3 linked regions of the Saccharomyces cerevisiae S288C genome follow. The gene in region 3 interacts genetically with the main gene of each other region. Each region holds a gene or a part of one and is shown on either strand. Other genes may lie near its edges.

Region 1 (5,417 bases), on a different chromosome or scaffold from region 3:
AAGTTCCAATGAACGAATTGTTCTCAGAAGAAAATTGTAATACCTGTCCACGGTACTTTGTTCCATCAAATCGGGTATGAACAGGCCAAAAATTATGAGATTGTTCACTATTTAGGGCTGTGAAGTTTATATATGGGAACAACTTGGTTTCTATGCTATGAAGAAGGGAAATATCCTGATCAGCACGGATTTCTTTTGAGCATTTTTGATACAAATCCAAATTGGATAGCGATCGGGACACAGTTTTCACATCCTTGCGACTCCTGGTCACGTAAGATATAAAAGATTTCCATCTATTCGGTTCATAGAATTTACTTGTCAATTCCGGCTTTTCATATTCCTCTATTTGACGCAGTCTAGAAAAGCAGTGCACGTTGCCAGAGCGATCATCTTCTCTGCGTGTTTCGAAATGGTCGGAGAATGGATACTGTCGGTAGACCCTAAAAAGAACAATGAGAGACAACAATGATGTGAAGATCAATGGTGCCAGTTTCTTAATTCTTCGTATGCGCAATACCATTTTTTGCAGAGTACGTTTTTAAAGATGGCACTTTTACCTTAACACAAGGGACTCAATTTCATGTTAACAAATTTCATCTTTTCCAAGTGTTACATAGCACTACCGATCCTTTCCTAGGTAACGAAACCATGATAAACTAGTGCTGCTGCTTTAAACAAAGAGGCGCAATGTTTACCTTCAGAAGAGAGGTCATACAATTACTTGGAGGGTAACATTACTAATTTTGCAGAGATTGCAACATAGGTGATCTTATATGTTGAAATAAAAACTACTGCTGATATTGCTTGCTTTGATAATAACAATATTCGAGGGAAAATACTGCCCATGCTACTTCAGTGTGATGGCAAAGCGTTTTCTCATCTAGGAGAGCAACGGTTTGATCCCCGTGAAAAGCCTGGGCCCAGTACATCTTGTAAGATCTTACACAATATTAAGTTATATAGACATCGTTTACTACATTCAAGGTCTTGTGAATAGTTACTGCGGATAGGTTAATAGAGGAAGATATAGTGCAAAATTTCAAGTAGCGGAAGATAATCAAATGCTGAAGGAAATTTACAGGTTTGCCTCAATAATAATCTTGACTCTGCCGGAAAAATTTACCAGAGGGTTCAAAGGTATGAGTTGTACGACCCGGTTCAACAGTAGTTGCTTGAAGAGTAAGCTGAGCCTATAATATCCCATCTTTTCCGTTCTTCTCATAATAAATAAAAGATAGGATCGTGAGATGTGTCAGCTGCTGAGGAGTGTAACTAGCGCTAATGGGAGAACATAGAAGAGAGTACCGTGATGGCACAGAAGGCGGGTAGGCGACCACGGACCATTTCGGTCCAGATTTCTCAACTCGTACTTCCTGTGATACGTTCTTGCCCTGAACTAGTCAATTTTCTCTTGTGCAGCAGGCTTCGACATAGTTTTATGATAAGAAAAGTAAGATATAAAGGTCCGCTAGAATAAATAACCATAAATTTTTTATTTTGAGTTATATCAATATAAATAATAGCGTAAAAGAATGCATTTTACGCAAGAAATAAGAATTCCTTGGCAAATGACTTGATGAGATCGTATATCATTGGTTTATGTGGGATTTCCACTCATGTAATACTTCAATCAAGACTTGATTAACCTTCGTCAATTCCTCTGTCGTGATCACATATGGTGGCATAATGTAACACAGGCAGTTGAAAGGTCGGATATGTACTCCCTTGGATATAAACTTTTTCTGGAACCACTCGGGATCTGTCTTCTTGTATAGCTCTACGATACCTACAGCTCCAATAACTGACACACGCTTAACAACAGTTCCAATGAGCCCATTATCTGGGTTCTTGATGTACTGGTATAGTTCTCTATAAATTTGGTTTTCAATTGCAGACACTTGTTTTCTCCACTCGCCACGCAGTAGTATATCCATAGACTTTTCTGCCACACTGCATGCCAGGGCATTGCCCATGAAGGTGGGGCCATGCATGAAGCAGCCACCAGTAGGGCTATTTGGAGAAGAGATTCTGGAAGCAACTTTGTCGTTGACTACCACTGCACTCATAGTCATATATCCACTGGTTAAGCCCTTCCCAACGCACAATATGTCAGGAACAACTTTGATCTGATCGGAAGGACTGATGCCATGTTGGTCCTGGTATTTTTGACAGTGCTTGAATGCGAAAATCTCACCTGTTCTACCAAATCCTGTAGCAATCTCGTCCATGATGAATAAAACGTCGTATTGGTTACATAGTTTCTGAACTTCGATTAAGAACTGTGGATGGTATGGTCGCAAACCTCCTGCACCCTGTAAGATAGGCTCCAAAATCACAGCACAGATCTTATCACTATGCAATTCAAATTGCTTCTTGAGATCGGTAACTTCTTCTGCATTCCAATGGTCCTCGAAACCGTTCTGGCTGGTTGGAAGGCCATCGACAATAGAGGGAGCTTGGGCGAAGATGTTCTCACTGAGTCGATCGTTGTAGATATGATGCATAGAATTCTCAGGATCACAAACACTCATAGCGCCAAATGTATCACCATGATACCCGTTCTTGATTGTCAAAAACTTTGTTCTATTTTTAGTAGCTTCCCCTGACATGTTTGATTGTAAAGCCATCTTCAAAGCTACTTCCACTGCTACTGAGCCAGAATCTGCGAGGAAACAGTACTGCAAAGAGGGTTCATCAATCACTTTTAAAAGTTTTTGGACTAGATTCACAGCTCCTTTATGGGTGAATCCACCAAGAAGGACGTGAGAAAACTTTAACATCTGCTTGGTAAGGGCCTCATTTAGTTCTGGATTATTGTACCCGTGAATAACACACCACCACGACGACATGGCGTCGATCACCTCGACGTCCACTGGTGAGTCGGTATCCAACACCAGCTTGCATCCGTGAGCACTCTTTACCGGATAAACGTTCAATGGTGAACTCAATGACGTATAAGGATGCCAAATATGTTTTTTATCAAAGTCTAGCAGTTCCGCGACATCTGGTGTATATGAAATTTCTTGGGACATTAGTTGTTATCCTAGCAATAGAAAACGAATTGCGCTGTTGACATCCTCCCGACCAAAAGAAAATGAAATATACAAACAATGGCTATTTATAATTCAAAATTATTGGGCAAAACAAAATAAAATCCCGCTGGTAGTTCGTTTACTGAAGTATATAAAGAGATATACTTTTTTCCACAAGTAGGCCAGTGAAAAGAACTCAAAAAATCACTAGCGCACAGGTCATGAACAGCAAATCTCAACAACAAGAACAACAACCAATTGTATTCGTCACCGGTACAGACACTGATGTTGGTAAAACCTTTGTATCAACATTATTGGTACACAAATGGAAAGCTGCATACTGGAAACCCGTACAAACTGGAATTGAGTCAGATCAAGGTGACTCCGAGACATTGAAAAATTTCAAAATAGCCGCATCAACTTGGCAACCACCTATATTCACGCCCACTTATGCGCTGCAGAAGCCTCTATCTCCGCTCCAGGCCATGGAGTACGAACCTAATGTCGACATCAGGTTGTTGGATTTCGTAGTTCCTGAAGAGTGGAGCGCAGAGAATCCATTGGTCGTAGAAGGAGCCGGCGGGGTTTGCGTTCCTATCACTCGTAAATTGGAAATTACGACGGATCTAATTAAACATCTGATTGAGACTAGCGGCCATCCAGTGTACGTAGTTGTCGTGGCACGCAGCGGGCTAGGGACTCTGAATCATACATTGCTGACTTGGAATCATCTTTGCGATAATGGCTTGAGAAGCCACCTTTTTGGGGTCATTCTCAATGGGGAACCGAATGAAGGCAACGTGCAGGCCCTGAAGAAGTTCGGTGTCAATATTATGGCACAGGTTGCACAATGTACTACGGCACATGATCAGGATATGGAGTTGCATGAACTGCCATCGGTGGAGTCATTAATGACCCAACAAGACGTAGAATAGTTTAAATAAAAAAGTTGCAAGGCTTTCATCAGCTATATATAAGTAGCATGGTATGAACAGAGTAGGGGCAGTGTTCCTATTTGTATATGAAAGAAATTTTTTTTTGTCTATTGTTCCAGATCGTCACAGGACGGAAATAAGAATGTCTAGTTCAGAAAGGTCAGAAGTCAAGTTTGACAAGCACTTTAATTGGTGGTCCCTATTAGGTATCGCGTTCTCATTAAGTTGCTCATGGGTCGGTATCTCAGCGTCGATGGCCGTTGGTATTGCCAGTGGAGGGCCACTGCTTATCATCTATGGGTTGATAATTGCTGCTTTTTTCAGTCTCATGTGTGGTATATCTCTGGGAGATTTTGCTGCTATCCTGCCAAACAGCAGCGGTGGTTCATTTTGGGTTCTTAAAATGTTGGAACAAGAATCAGTCACTTTGAAAACCCCTGAGTACGAGGACCCTTCTGACGATGATGAAGAAGTGTTCCTCGAGAATTATTGTCAAACTTTCAACGTGGAAGTTTCTTCTAAATTTCAAAAGGTTTCTTCCATGGTTGTAGGGTTGCTGAACTATTTCGGTGCCATTTTTACTACCGCAAGTATCTGCTCATCTTTGTCAATGAGCTGTATCGGTATTCATAAGTTGTTGCATCCGGACTACGAGTTAAAGCACTGGCATGTTTTTGTGGGTTACGAGTGTATCAATGCCGTTTTGACACTTTTCAACATTTATTCAACTCCGTTGCCCTATATCTCTCAGTTTGGGCTCTATACGTCTCTATTGTCTTTCGCCATGACTTTCATTATTTGTATTGTTTCAAGATCTGACAACACCGTAGACCCATGGCCCAAAGCTTCTAATATATTTGGGAGCTTTGATAATCAAACAGGCTGGAATTCGTCTGGAATGGCGTTTGTTGTCGGTTTGGTCAATCCGATCTGGGCATTTGTTGGCATTGACTCTGCTACGCACATGATTGATGAAGTGGGTTATAGTAAGTCACGTTTCTTAGTTCCCAAAGTTATTATCACTACCATCATTGTGGGCTTTGTAACTAGTTTTATTTATTGCGTTGGTTTGTTTTTCTGCATCACTGACCAAACGGCAGTCGTTGAGTCTATTTTACCTATCGTAGAAATATTTTACCAGGCCACTGGTAATAGGAATCTCAGTGTCTTCCTGCAATGTATGTGTATCACAACAGGTTTTGTTTCAGGCATTGCAAGTGGAACCTGGCAAAGTCGAATCCTCCAATCATTCGGGAAAAGTTACGCACCATTTTATAAAGAGGGTTCCTTGGGAAACAAATCCTTGAAGAAGCTAGCAGTGTTGACACCTGGGTTTAAGTCTCCATTATATGCCCATTTTTTGTCACAAATATGTGTAACGATAATTGGCTGTATATTTATGGGATCTAGTACCGCTTTCAACGCAATTATCACTGCATGCATCACCCTG
Region 2 (7,160 bases), on a different chromosome or scaffold from region 3:
AACCAGGTCTTTATATAGACCAGGATGAACTAGAAATAGATGAAGATGAATACAAAGAGAAGGTACATGAAATGCAAAAGTTGATTGGTCTAGCTTCATATGTTGGATATAAATTTAGATTTGACTTACTATACTACATCAACACACTTGCTCAACATATACTATTCCCCTCTAGGCAAGTTTTAGACATGACATATGAGTTAATACAATTCATGTGGGACACTAGAGATAAACAACTGATATGGCACAAAAACAAACCTACCGAGCCAGATAATAAACTAGTCGCAATAAGCGATGCTTCATATGGTAACCAACCATATTACAAGTCACAAATTGGTAACATTTTCCTACTCAACGGAAAAGTGATTGGAGGAAAGTCGACAAAGGCTTCGTTAACATGCACTTCAACTACAGAAGCAGAAATACACGCAGTCAGTGAAGCTATTCCGCTATTGAATAACCTCAGTCACCTTGTGCAAGAACTTAACAAGAAACCAATTATTAAAGGCTTACTTACTGATAGTAGATCAACGATCAGTATAATTAAGTCTACAAATGAAGAGAAATTTAGAAACAGATTTTTTGGCACAAAGGCAATGAGACTTAGAGATGAAGTATCAGGTAATAATCTATACGTATACTACATCGAGACCAAGAAGAACATTGCTGATGTGATGACAAAACCTCTTCCGATAAAAACATTTAAACTATTAACTAACAAATGGATTCATTAGATCTATTACATTATGGGTGGTATGTTGGAATAGAAATCAACTATCATCTACTAACTAGTATTTACATTACTAGTATATTATCATATACGGTGTTAGAAGATGACGCAAATGATGAGAAATAGTCATCTAAATTAGTGGAAGCTGAAACGCAAGGATTGATAATGTAATAGGATCAATGAATATAAACATATAAAATGATGATAATAATATTTATAGAATTGTGTAGAATTGCAGATTCCCTTTTATGGATTCCTAAATCCTTGAGGAGAACTTCTAGTATATTCTGTATACCTAATATTATAGCCTTTATCAACAATGGAATCCCAACAATTATCTCAACATTCACCCATTTCTCAGAATAGATGTGAACTCTTTGGTTTTCGGTCAGACTAGACGTCAGTAAATAGTTTGAAAGCGAGAATAAAAAATAATTGTAATGGATAATGAAATGCCGTTAATTGGTAGTATTAATGAAGAATGAATATCCATCTTTTCATGCAATATAAGAGAAAAATATAAAACTGCTGAGATACGGACAAAAATCACCTATGTACAAGTATTTATTTTATCATATACGGCGTAAGAAGATGACGTCAAAAATTGAGGAACAGTCATCGAATTTAATGGAAGCTGAAATGCAATGATCGATAATGTAATAGGATAATGAGTAACAACAATTAAATTGAAGAAGAAAAAATAGTGATGCTCTGTAGAGATGTCATTTCCCTTCAATGTTGCTATATTCTCCTGGCACATTAACGTATGCCCACTATTAGTGCCTTTAACAATAGAATCCCAACAATTATTCAATTATTCACCCATAAAATCCACCTATTTTTCAAGAAAGCATTAGATTTGCTCATTATTATTTATTATTAACATAAAAGTGCCTTTGGTAGTTACTATGTATTTAGTGTGGTGACCCGTATTCCTCATATATATAAGTAGCTACCACATTATGTTCAATCAATATATCTTTAACTCAGCTCAGCATTGTCTGAATTGCTCGCTTAAGTTTTTATCCTGTGATTAGTGCATTTACACATAAACGTATACCGGGTGTACCTCAATATACTATGTAAACATTTAAATTGTTACCATAACAACTCATGTTATTATTAATGATCACTTGACAACATATAAAAACGAAAGAAGAAATAATAATACTACTATGTATAAGTATCCATTTCCTTTTGTGGATTCCTCAAAATGGCCAGTATATTCGGAAGTAACATAATGTAGTTATTCATCGATGAGGTTCACATTCTGTAGCACTGACCCATCGAAAGAAAAGAGTTTATATTTTGATAAATTACATAAAAGCTGAAAAGTTTGTAGTGGTCATAGAAGGTAACCCACCTCCTAAGAAATCCAGCATCATATGCATACCACCACCTCCACTATACTCATCAACATCCTGTGGTAAAACCTGTGATACGCTATCCAAGAACCACACTTTGTCCTTTATTTCTGTGGTATAACCTCTCAATAATGTATAGTAAGACCTCATTATTCTCATGGCCCCTAGGTCGCCTGTCATTAATAATGCTAAAAAAGTCCTATCCAAAAGAGCAGGAAATGAGAAGACTCTCAACATAAAATCTAATTGATTTTTTTCGCGATGCAGTTTGTCCAAATATGCTAAAGTTATCAAGTACGGTGAATCAATTTCTACGGGATATAAATCTGCTATACTTTCGTCAAAGCATACGAGTTCCGATATCGTATTATTGTTATTTCCATCACCATTATTGCTATTGTCATTATCATTATTATGATTACTTTGGTTGATTACAGCTTCACCCAAATCACTCAAGTCAACAGAAATTAAGTTATAAAACTTGGATGTCTCCGACAGGGGCCATACAGCAGTTAGTATAGTTACGGCGCCTTTAACATGGAAAATCCATGCCGTTGGTGAGCTGCTTGAAGCATTTGCCAATGAATCTAGGATTAATATTAGAGCACTAGCCACCAAAGCATCTGTGTTATCATCTGAAATTTCGAGCACAGCCTCTCTTAACAGTCTCAACGCTTCTAAACGATGACTAGACACGTAGTTATCCAAGCCGGCTTCAGTTCTGGACAAATGAGTGGCGCTAAAAGCCAAAATTGTATGCATCAAGAAGGGAAAATGAAAAGCCAAATCCGGAATATAAGTGCTCCATACTTCAGGACCAGAAATGCCTGCTTCGGTTATGGTATGCCATACGTCAGTACAATAGTGATGAAAAAGTTTTAGATCTATCAAATTCAAATTTGATTTTCTAGACAGCCCGACTAATTCAGGGACTAGTCGTGAGGCTGATGAAGCGTTTGAATGGGGAGAAGATTGTTGTTGAGTGTGAGAATTTGATGAACGTGGAGACAATGCCTCCGAGTTGGATAACAGGTCACCCATTGGGGACGTCTTCAAAGTAGGAGAATTTCCCAAAGCGGTCCTGTTGTCCGGTATAGATAACAATGACTTTGTAGAGGTTACATTGGATACTCCCGTTGAAGGGGACGCAATGTTTTGATCTATGGAAGGTTTGGACAACGTGTGTGGGGGACTGATTGTGAGACCGGTATTGTCGATTATCAAGTTTTTGTTATGAGATAGTATATCAGAAGCAGTAACTTTATTTTCGTTTCCGTTAAGGGGGTTATTGCCCGAATTAACAGCATCCGTCTTAGTATTATCCAATGGGTTCTTCGTAAATTGCTTGTTTTTGTCCTCCTGTTCCTGTTGCATATTTGCGAGTGCCTCCTCTGCTGTGCTAACTTTGATTGCTCTGTTATTAGATGTAGCAAACTTTCCGAGGCCAAATAACTCTTGAAACTCAGAGGCCATTCCATTTGCAGCACCGTATGGAAATAATGTATTGAAGCTCTTCATATTGAAGTTCAAGCCCATCTTGTTCAATTGCGCTAGCTGGTCGAAGGGAATATTGCTGAAGGGGGACTGTGTTCCTTGTTGTTGTGGAATTTGCTGATTTTGTTGTTGAAGTTGTGGCTGCTGCAATCCATTCGTCACCGAATTTAGCCTACCAGGCGAGAGTAAGCCGTTAAGGCTACTTGATAAATTCATGGCCGTTGATTGAAAACTAGGTGTTATCGGTATACTCAATGGCGAATTCCCTGGTAGGGCCATGTTTGGGTGGTTGTTGTTTATCATTGAACTGGGAGCTGTTTGTGTTATATTATTATGCGCTTCAGCTCCATTTGCACTGCTGTTGGTACTGTTACTGGTGTTATTCACTAAACTCGCTAATAGGTGCGGTAACAAAAGATTCTCCATATTATTGGATACGGATGGAGGAACGCTATTAGGGGAATTGCTTTGTTCATCAGTACCAACATGTGGCAACAGTTGCTGCTGTAACTGAACTTGCTGTTGTTGACGAAATTGCTGTTCTTGTTGATGATGAAGTTGCTGTTGTTGTTGTTGTAACATGATGGCATTGTCACTCAGATTTTTCTTGCCTACCCTATCGTGGACCGCTGATGCAAATTTTGACGACGAAGAATCTTTTCTTCTTCTTGGCTGAATAGGGCTGTAAACACAGTCCAATTTCATGTTTGTACATTTCTTGCAAAATGGTTTGCCTTCATCACATTTTACTCTTCTTCTTTTACAATTGTCGCAACCGGTCTTGGACTTGTTATGAAACTTCCGTTTCCCTGTCGAAGTCTTGCTCACTTTCTTGCCCCCAACCTCAATCAGTTCAGCATCCTTCTCTCTTTCTTGTCCAGCATTCCCATCATCGGATGTCATGTTATGTTAGATGGAGATCTATGGATAAACGAAATATAAACCTTAAATGAAAAAAACCGTCGACTTAACTCCTCTATATTATGTAAAGGCGAAATGTTATTTGTGCCTTTGAAAAGTGGAGGTCTTGGTTGCTTCTCCTTCGACGATAATCGATTTCGGTGACTAGTTAGTAGATGATGTAATCGTAGACGCAGGGAACCCTTGCTTTTCCCCAATCGTAACAAAAAAAAACAAGGGGAAATAAACTATTAGATAGTACGAGTTCGTTAAGTTAAAAAAAAGGCTATAAAAGTCGAAGAACGAATGATTACGACCAACATCTATTGTTCAAACTTGCCTTCGTTGAGTTTATCGAACGCGCTCGTTTAAATTTTTCCGACAAGAACGAGGAACGAGTCACCAATTACGTTTTCGGCTCTGTCGGTTGCAGGATCTGTAAAAGCGATATAGATACACACGTCAGCATGAAGCTCTTATGATTTGGCGAGTAGTGTTAGTACGTTAAATGCTACGACTCGGCATATACTGTGCTCGTTTTTATCAGTTTCATCCGAGGATTGTAGCCTTTTTTTTTCATTTGTTGATGTTTCTCTAGTATTTTCCGTCTTGTAGTGGTTTCGGGTATGTTGAACATAAACATTAAAAAAGACGATTAAATAAACTTGAGTTTGTACAAAGGAAAGCTGTAGTCATAGAGTATTTAGAAAAAAAAGCAGCCACAGTTTACATGAAGATGTGACCAATGAGGAGGCATCGGTTTGCCTTTGAATCTCAATCGCTTGAAAATTGAGTTCTTTTCGAATGATGACACCTCCGAGAAATGGCATTTCTATGCTAGCGCCACTCTACCCTTTCAAACGTCCGTACTCATATGAAGTTTCATCCTTCACGCAGCGATCTAAAAAGTTGTAAAAAAAAATACATTTAGGCCTAGCTATATATGCTACTATGTATCATTCAGTGAAATGGCTGAGGTTATATAAAATACTGGGAGGTCGTTTTTACGCTAAAGCAGACCTTGCGGATCTTTTCCTGTAGAATATATTTGTAGCATAAGTCCAATTTTACGGGCGCATTTTCAAAATCAAGGTGATATTGACATATTTTGAAGAGCACCCAATGGGCTAGCTGCAAGAACAAAGAGACCAGAAAGCCTAGAATTAAATGCCAGAAAAATGGAAATTTATTCTAGACAAAAATTGTTCGGCACCTCTACAGACGTTTAACGAACCTGGTCCGGCCTTTGAGGCGATCAAAAAAAGGCCCATTTTTGTGTTCCGCGTAATTGGTTTGCGCCTTTCCATGGAGCTTGGTGGGCGACATTCTCAAACTGGTTTCCTGATACATCATGCACGCCCGTAAAGGGTTTAAGTATTGATTGCTAGCCTGAATGTTTCATATGCATACCGTGTCTATGCAACGAATATATTTCAGAAAAAAGCACGAAAGCCAAATTTTTGATGTTAAGAGGTGTTTTTGCCCGTAAACGGAGAAGACGTGGTAGGACTCGCAAATGTCGCGTTTAGCGTTGAAGAACATGGAAGTATTGAACGTTTGGGGCTTGACGGCTCGACTTTTTTGCACTACTCCGCCTTGAACAGACGGATGATCCTGGCGCAAGAAACAAAGAGAATCAACTCTGAGCAAAGCGAAAAAATGAAATACAACGATAATAAAAGGATAGGAAGGTGTATATATAAGTTAATTTTAGATATAGATTAAGAAAAGATGGGCATATACTAATATGACTACAAAATTGCACATTTTTTACTTTTCTTGATAACAGGAGGCTCCAAGGCGGCCACGATAGCTTCATCGAATACATTCTTCAAACCGCGTTGTGTTAGTGCCGAACACTCGACATATTTTACTGCTTTCAGTTCTCTTGCTAACCTGGAACCTTGTTCTGATGTAATCGGACGTAATCTTTGTCTTTGCAACTTCTCGATGATTACCTTGTCATCCCTTAGATCAATCTGCGTACCGACGACCAGGCATGGTACACCTGGACAATGGTGATGTACTTCAGGGAACCATTTTTCTTTAACGTTTTCAAAAGAGGGTGGGGAAATAACACTGAAACAAACCAAAAATACATCAGTAGAAGGATATGACAAGGGTCTCAATCGATCGTAATCTTCTTGACCGGCCGTATCAAACAAACCTAACGTATATGGTTCATCACCAATCATCACAGTCACCGCATAGTTATCGAACACTGTTGGAACATAGTCGGCTGGAAATTGATTCGTTGTATAGGAGATTAGAAGGCACGTTTTCCCAACAGCACCATCACCGACAACAACACACTTTAGCGTTTGCATTTTGTGGAAGAGCTAATACGTTTATTTCTTGTTTTATAAGTTTTGCTTCTCTAATTCGTTTGTTAACCTATCTCCTCAGGAAAATAGAATAGTATAATAAATAACGAATATAATTTTTTGCGACAAAGGAAACCTATTGCAAAAAGTGAAGAATGACAGAGAAGGATAATCAGTATATCTCGGTACACCTGGAACCTATTTATCAAAACGCTGCTCTTGCCTTTTCCAAGAATCGCGTCTATCATCGATCAATCAACCTTGTTTGCTTTTTTTTATCACTTTTTCCCGTATCTTGTTTCATTTGGAAGGGCCCAATGGAAGCAGTATTACCCGTATTGAATGACC
Region 3 (5,852 bases):
TTGCCAAGGATAGAAGAAGAAGATAGCCAATCGTATAGCTCGCTTGAGCTTGGCAGAACAATAGTCGTAAAGGAAAGAGAGAATTTTTTCAATGACTTCTTAATTGTTTCAGGTGTACTTATTGCCGGAATTTTGTCATGGTATATATCTTACTGTTCCGGCCTAGATAACGGTATTCCTAAAAAAAAACCTGCGTTCGAACAGATTAATTTACCTGCACAAATTTTAGGGTATTTAAGTGCGATACTGTACTTGGGCTCTAGGATCCCTCAGATTGTTCTTAACTTCAAAAGAAAATCATGCGAAGGAGTCTCATTCCTATTCTTTTTATTTGCATGCTTAGGGAACACTTCTTTCATAATCTCAGTGCTCTCAGCATCTTGGCTTATCGGTAGCGCTGGTACGCTGTTGATGGACTTCACAGTTTTTATTCAATTTTTCCTTTACGCCAAACCTAAATACGAGAAAATACTAATAGATAATTAACTAGTTGGCTTCTATTAATCTTTCCACTTAAAACTCAAACTTACTCATATGCGCATCGGCTATAGCCCAGAACTAGTATTTTCATTTTATGGAGGAAACAAAATTACTAGCGCCATCACGGCTCAGTCGTTATTTTGGCGATGCCCTTTGCTGACACGCGTCTGAAAAAATACACAAAAAATAACACAAAAACGAGTAATGCCATTTCCTGGGTGGGGTCTCTATCCATAGAGGAAAAAAAGTGACAGGAAGGGGACAAATTCAACTATTCACTGTAGTCATCTAATAATTTTTTTAACTTAATCACACCAACAAAAACAAAAAAAAGCTAAAACTAGGTTGAAGGATTTTAAGAGAAGTTATTGCACCGGTGTATTAACATATATAAGGATACGTACGAACATAACATCATGTCCAGCTTAGCCGATACAGTAGAGGGTAGCGAGGCCAAACGCGGCAGATTTTCCAACAATGCATTAACCTCCGATACTGGTATTTTACAGAAAAATAGTACATTAAGAAACTGGTTTTTAAAACCGACAGCAGACCTAAAAAATAGTTGCGAAGATAGAGTTGAAGATGACGTCAATGATGTCTACTTAAATGACAAAAACTCACAAAAATCTGTTGAAGAAAGAAAACTAGGAAGAAAAGTTAGATCTTTTTTCAAACAAACAAACTCAAATAAGGACGAGTCTGTGTTGGAAGATGAAGATGATGCGTTAGTTTGGAAGAAAACTAGCAATAAGTGTGCAAAAAAGGAAAATTCCCATGACATCCAAAAAGGAAGTTTCACAAAAAAAATCAGAAACAGTATTTTCAAGAGTGCAAATGACGTGAAAGAATTCAGGAATGAAAATAACTTACTATTGCCCGTTGAACTTTCTTCTGATGATGAGAATGAGTCTCATTTCACTGATGCTAACTCACATGTTATGCAATCAAAAAGTCCCGAGAAAATACCTTCCAAGGATCAATGCTTGACTAAAGGCGCTAAGAATAAAGGTCTGAAAAAGGAATATGAAAAAAGTTTTGAAGAGTATAGCGACGACAGTGACGATGAATTTTCTCCTGCTACTCCACCGGAGAATGTTCTTGAAGGTCCTTACAAATTTGTGTTTCAGACACCAAACACATTTACATCTCAGCCTAATATAACAGTAGAAAATGATTTTCACAAAGGTGGGAGACATGTGATTGACTATCTGAACAAAAAATTGGCTACTATGAACATTGATATTGATTTGACTTCAGGGGGGAAACAAAACGTATCTTGGGAGGAAGAGCTCGACCAATTGAGCGACCACGTTATAGAAAGTATTACTAACCACATTTCAAAGGGTAGAATGCACGCACAAGAGAAGCAAGATGAGTTGGAAAAGTTAAAATTGGAGAATTTGAACTTGTCAACATTAAAGCAAGAAAATCTCCAACATAAGCAGGAAATTAACTCATTGAAAGACAACCTTGAATCCATTAGTAAAAAAAACAATGATCTTATATTGGAAATGAACAAATTGAAAAAAAAAAGTACGAATAATAAAACAAATGAGTACATATCTACGGATGAAAACGAAAATGAGGAGATTACCAAATCCAATATGGGTCCTGGCATTTTAGAACTGAACGTCAACGAAACTTCAAAAAAATTACAGCAATCCACATTCAAACCCTCGAAATATCTTCCAAGAGAAACGAGAAACAATGAAAATAGATTAAAACACTTGGAAAAGAGAATATTTGGCTTAGAAAAATCTCTTGAAAAAAAAAAAAAACAGGTAAGGGCTGACAGCGTTAGATTAGACTTGAATAGATATACTATCGACCAGTTTTTGACATTACTGAAAAGCCTCAGCGAGGTTTTGCAATTCCACAATGTTTATGGCAATGATTTGAAGGAAAACGACGATAATATTATAAAGATTGAAACCTGCTGTAGTGCGCTAAACATGAAAAATTGTTTCGAAGACTCCTCATTTCGTTTACAAGAAAACAGCTTCAAGAGGCAATTGGGCCCTCTGTTCGCAAACATCAACTTCTCCTTAATCGACCAACTGACAATGAACTTCAGGTTCTACGAGAGATCTGCCAATTTCCAGAAGGAAACAATAGGTGGGTTAAGAATGATGCTACAAGATAAGGATAACTATATCAAAACACTGATGCAACATTTGAAGAAAAAAGAGAGTACAAAGTTGATAAAAGACAGCAAGAATGGCGCCTCCACCTTAACATCTTAACAATTTCGTTTACTGAAAATGCTACTAGTATATAATCATTAAGTATCTAACTATCACTCAATAAAAATATTATAGATCGCTTAAAAACTCGTTTATTGCCGATTATAAATCCACCAAAAGCCGCTCTACCCTTACCTCCGCCTGGAAAAATTATAATATATAAAGTGAGCCTCGTAATACAGGGGTAAAAAGGAAAGAGGGGGATATCAAGCATCTGGACTTATTTGCACTATCTCCGCCTTCAATTGATAAAAGCGTCTTGATTTTAATCAACTGCTATCATGTCTTCTTCAGTAGCCTCAACCGAAAACATAGTCGAAAATATGTTGCATCCAAAGACTACAGAAATATACTTTTCACTCAACAATGGTGTTCGTATCCCAGCACTGGGTTTGGGGACAGCAAATCCTCACGAAAAGTTAGCTGAAACAAAACAAGCCGTAAAAGCTGCAATCAAAGCTGGATACAGGCACATTGATACTGCTTGGGCCTACGAGACAGAGCCATTCGTAGGTGAAGCCATCAAGGAGTTATTAGAAGATGGATCTATCAAAAGGGAGGATCTTTTCATAACCACAAAAGTGTGGCCGGTTCTATGGGACGAAGTGGACAGATCATTGAATGAATCTTTGAAAGCTTTAGGCTTGGAATACGTCGACTTGCTCTTGCAACATTGGCCGCTATGTTTTGAAAAGATTAAGGACCCTAAGGGGATCAGCGGACTGGTGAAGACTCCGGTTGATGATTCTGGAAAAACAATGTATGCTGCCGACGGTGACTATTTAGAAACTTACAAGCAATTGGAAAAAATTTACCTTGATCCTAACGATCATCGTGTGAGAGCCATTGGTGTCTCAAATTTTTCCATTGAGTATTTGGAACGTCTCATTAAGGAATGCAGAGTTAAGCCAACGGTGAACCAAGTGGAAACTCACCCTCACTTACCACAAATGGAACTAAGAAAGTTCTGCTTTATGCACGACATTCTGTTAACAGCATACTCACCATTAGGTTCCCATGGCGCACCAAACTTGAAAATCCCACTAGTGAAAAAGCTTGCCGAAAAGTACAATGTCACAGGAAATGACTTGCTAATTTCTTACCATATTAGACAAGGCACTATCGTAATTCCGAGATCCTTGAATCCAGTTAGGATTTCCTCGAGTATTGAATTCGCATCTTTGACAAAGGATGAATTACAAGAGTTGAACGACTTCGGTGAAAAATACCCAGTGAGATTCATCGATGAGCCATTTGCAGCCATCCTTCCAGAGTTTACTGGTAACGGACCAAACTTGGACAATTTAAAGTATTAAGACAACGACTTTATTTTCACTTTATTTAGTTCGCTTCTTAATCTTGTCAAAAACAAGATATTGTGTAATCGCCTCAAGTAAACAATATGTTTTTCATACGTGATTTGAAGTTTTTAAGTATCTGAAATACATACGCGCGCGTATGCATATGTATTAGTTAAATTACTCGAATGTCCTTTATATAATATTACATTTTTACACACACATTCTTGAAGAAGAAATCCCGATCGTAAAAAAAAACACCGTGCTCCAAATGGCCTTCAATCTTTTCGAATAATTTATTCGATTGTTCATTCTCATCTCTATAATCATTCGCCGTACGTTCAGGATATGACGCATCAAGCAGCGAAGCTAAACCTGTTGGAAATAAAGATCTGTCATAGTCATCGTCTTCTTCATCATCATCAGCACCATTATTACTATAATCATCATCATTGTCATCATCATCATCATCATCATCATCATCATCATCATCATCATCATCATCATCATCATCATCATTAATATTGTTGTCATTGTCATTATTGTTACTGTTACTGTAGTTATTGTTATTATTATTAATAGTACTACTACTATTATTGCCATTTTTATTATTATTATTATTATTATTATTATTATCGTCAGTATCATCAGCGCCAGTAGTCTCGTTATTATCAGTATTGGTACCATTACTATGATGATATTCCTCGCCTGGCTCAAGAGTTTTATTTTCCCACAATTTCGGAATGCTTGAAAATTGCAAGAAGTTCAAATCCTGGATTGTTATTTCATTGAAAATATTGAAGGACACTTCCATTTTTTCTTGGTCCTCTGTAACGAAACTACCAAATGCAGCCATCTTCTCTTTATTTATGAACGAAGTTTTCAAGAGCTCGACCATATCATCTTTTGATTCTCTCGTATGCTTAACTAACCTATTGAGAACACCCTCATAATAATTTGAATCAAAGGCATAGAATTTTGCGTATTTACTTGTCAGATTGAACTTTTCCATCGTACTCCGTAGAAAAAAAGTGTAAAAAAAAAGAGATGTTTGCCACTTCAGATTGTGTACTGAAAGACAGCGTTCTTCAGATCCAAGCATACGGGTATGTGTATCCCTCAATAATCCAATTATATAACCAGTCTCCATGGCATGTTCGTCATTAACCATAATCTCTGACAAATACAGAAACATGGAAAAAACCGTTGTGAGAGAAAAATACAGAAACTCATTCTGAACAGTAGGGTAGTATTCAAAATCTTTCAAAATATTAAGTACTTCGATGCAATTTCGCTTGAAATCCAATCTTGACCTTCTAATAATTTCAGCTATATCATGCCGGGAACTTTCCCGTTGATCTAAGTTATCTCCAATGATGGATATGACAAATAAACTCAGGGTTATCTTTTGATGGTACCATCTGAGGTGTAATAGAATAGTAGTACAACAACTCACTTCAAAATCTAACTTCGAAGAATCCAAAGATAAAATCCTCATGTTTTCCTTGTAATTTTCTAATGATAATATGGTGGGCAAATCGTCTCGCATTCTATCTAACGCCTTTTGATTTTCCAGTACATTTTCAATGATTTCATCTAGTGTATCGTCTAAAGTTGTTCTGATGGAAAAACATGAGTAATATATTTGAGACTCTATGAGGGATAATCTCGACAAAAAATATGATTGAATGTATGGTACATATTCAAGGTGATTCGCGAGTAAGTTTACAACGGATACAATATCTTTCACCCCTTCTAGTTTTGAATCATCGTATTTTATAGAAAGATTGGGCAGAATTTTATCTCTGAATAGTTCAACATAGCTTTC

Evidence for each region.
Region 1: mutations in ARA1 (region 3) and BIO4 together harm fitness more than expected from each alone (negative genetic interaction), as found in Saccharomyces cerevisiae (one large-scale study listed by BioGRID).
Region 2: mutations in ARA1 (region 3) and ECM22 together harm fitness more than expected from each alone (negative genetic interaction), as found in Saccharomyces cerevisiae (one large-scale study listed by BioGRID).

The regions. Positions count from the first base shown.
Region 1 is NC_001146.8:731,906-737,322, reverse strand, and holds BIO4 (dethiobiotin synthase), read left to right. Parts: upstream 1-3,253; coding exon 3,254-3,967; downstream 3,968-5,417. Other genes in the region: MNT4 (putative alpha-1,3-mannosyltransferase), read right to left, coding at 1-520; BIO3 (adenosylmethionine-8-amino-7-oxononanoate transaminase), read right to left, coding at 1,590-3,032; BIO5 (Bio5p), read left to right, coding at 4,020-5,417.
Region 2 is NC_001144.5:597,973-605,132, forward strand, and holds ECM22 (Ecm22p), read right to left. Parts: upstream 4,492-7,160; coding exon 2,047-4,491; downstream 1-2,046. Other genes in the region: Rho family GTPase CDC42, read right to left, coding at 6,240-6,815.
Region 3 is NC_001134.8:536,980-542,831, forward strand, and holds ARA1 (D-arabinose 1-dehydrogenase (NAD(P)(+)) ARA1), read left to right. Parts: upstream 1-3,007; coding exon 3,008-4,042; downstream 4,043-5,852. Other genes in the region: RTC2 (cationic amino acid transporter), read left to right, coding at 1-486; YSW1 (Ysw1p), read left to right, coding at 897-2,726; TBS1 (Tbs1p), read right to left, coding at 4,230-5,852. UniProt on the Saccharomyces cerevisiae protein: Catalyzes the oxidation of D-arabinose, L-xylose, L-fucose and L-galactose in the presence of NADP(+).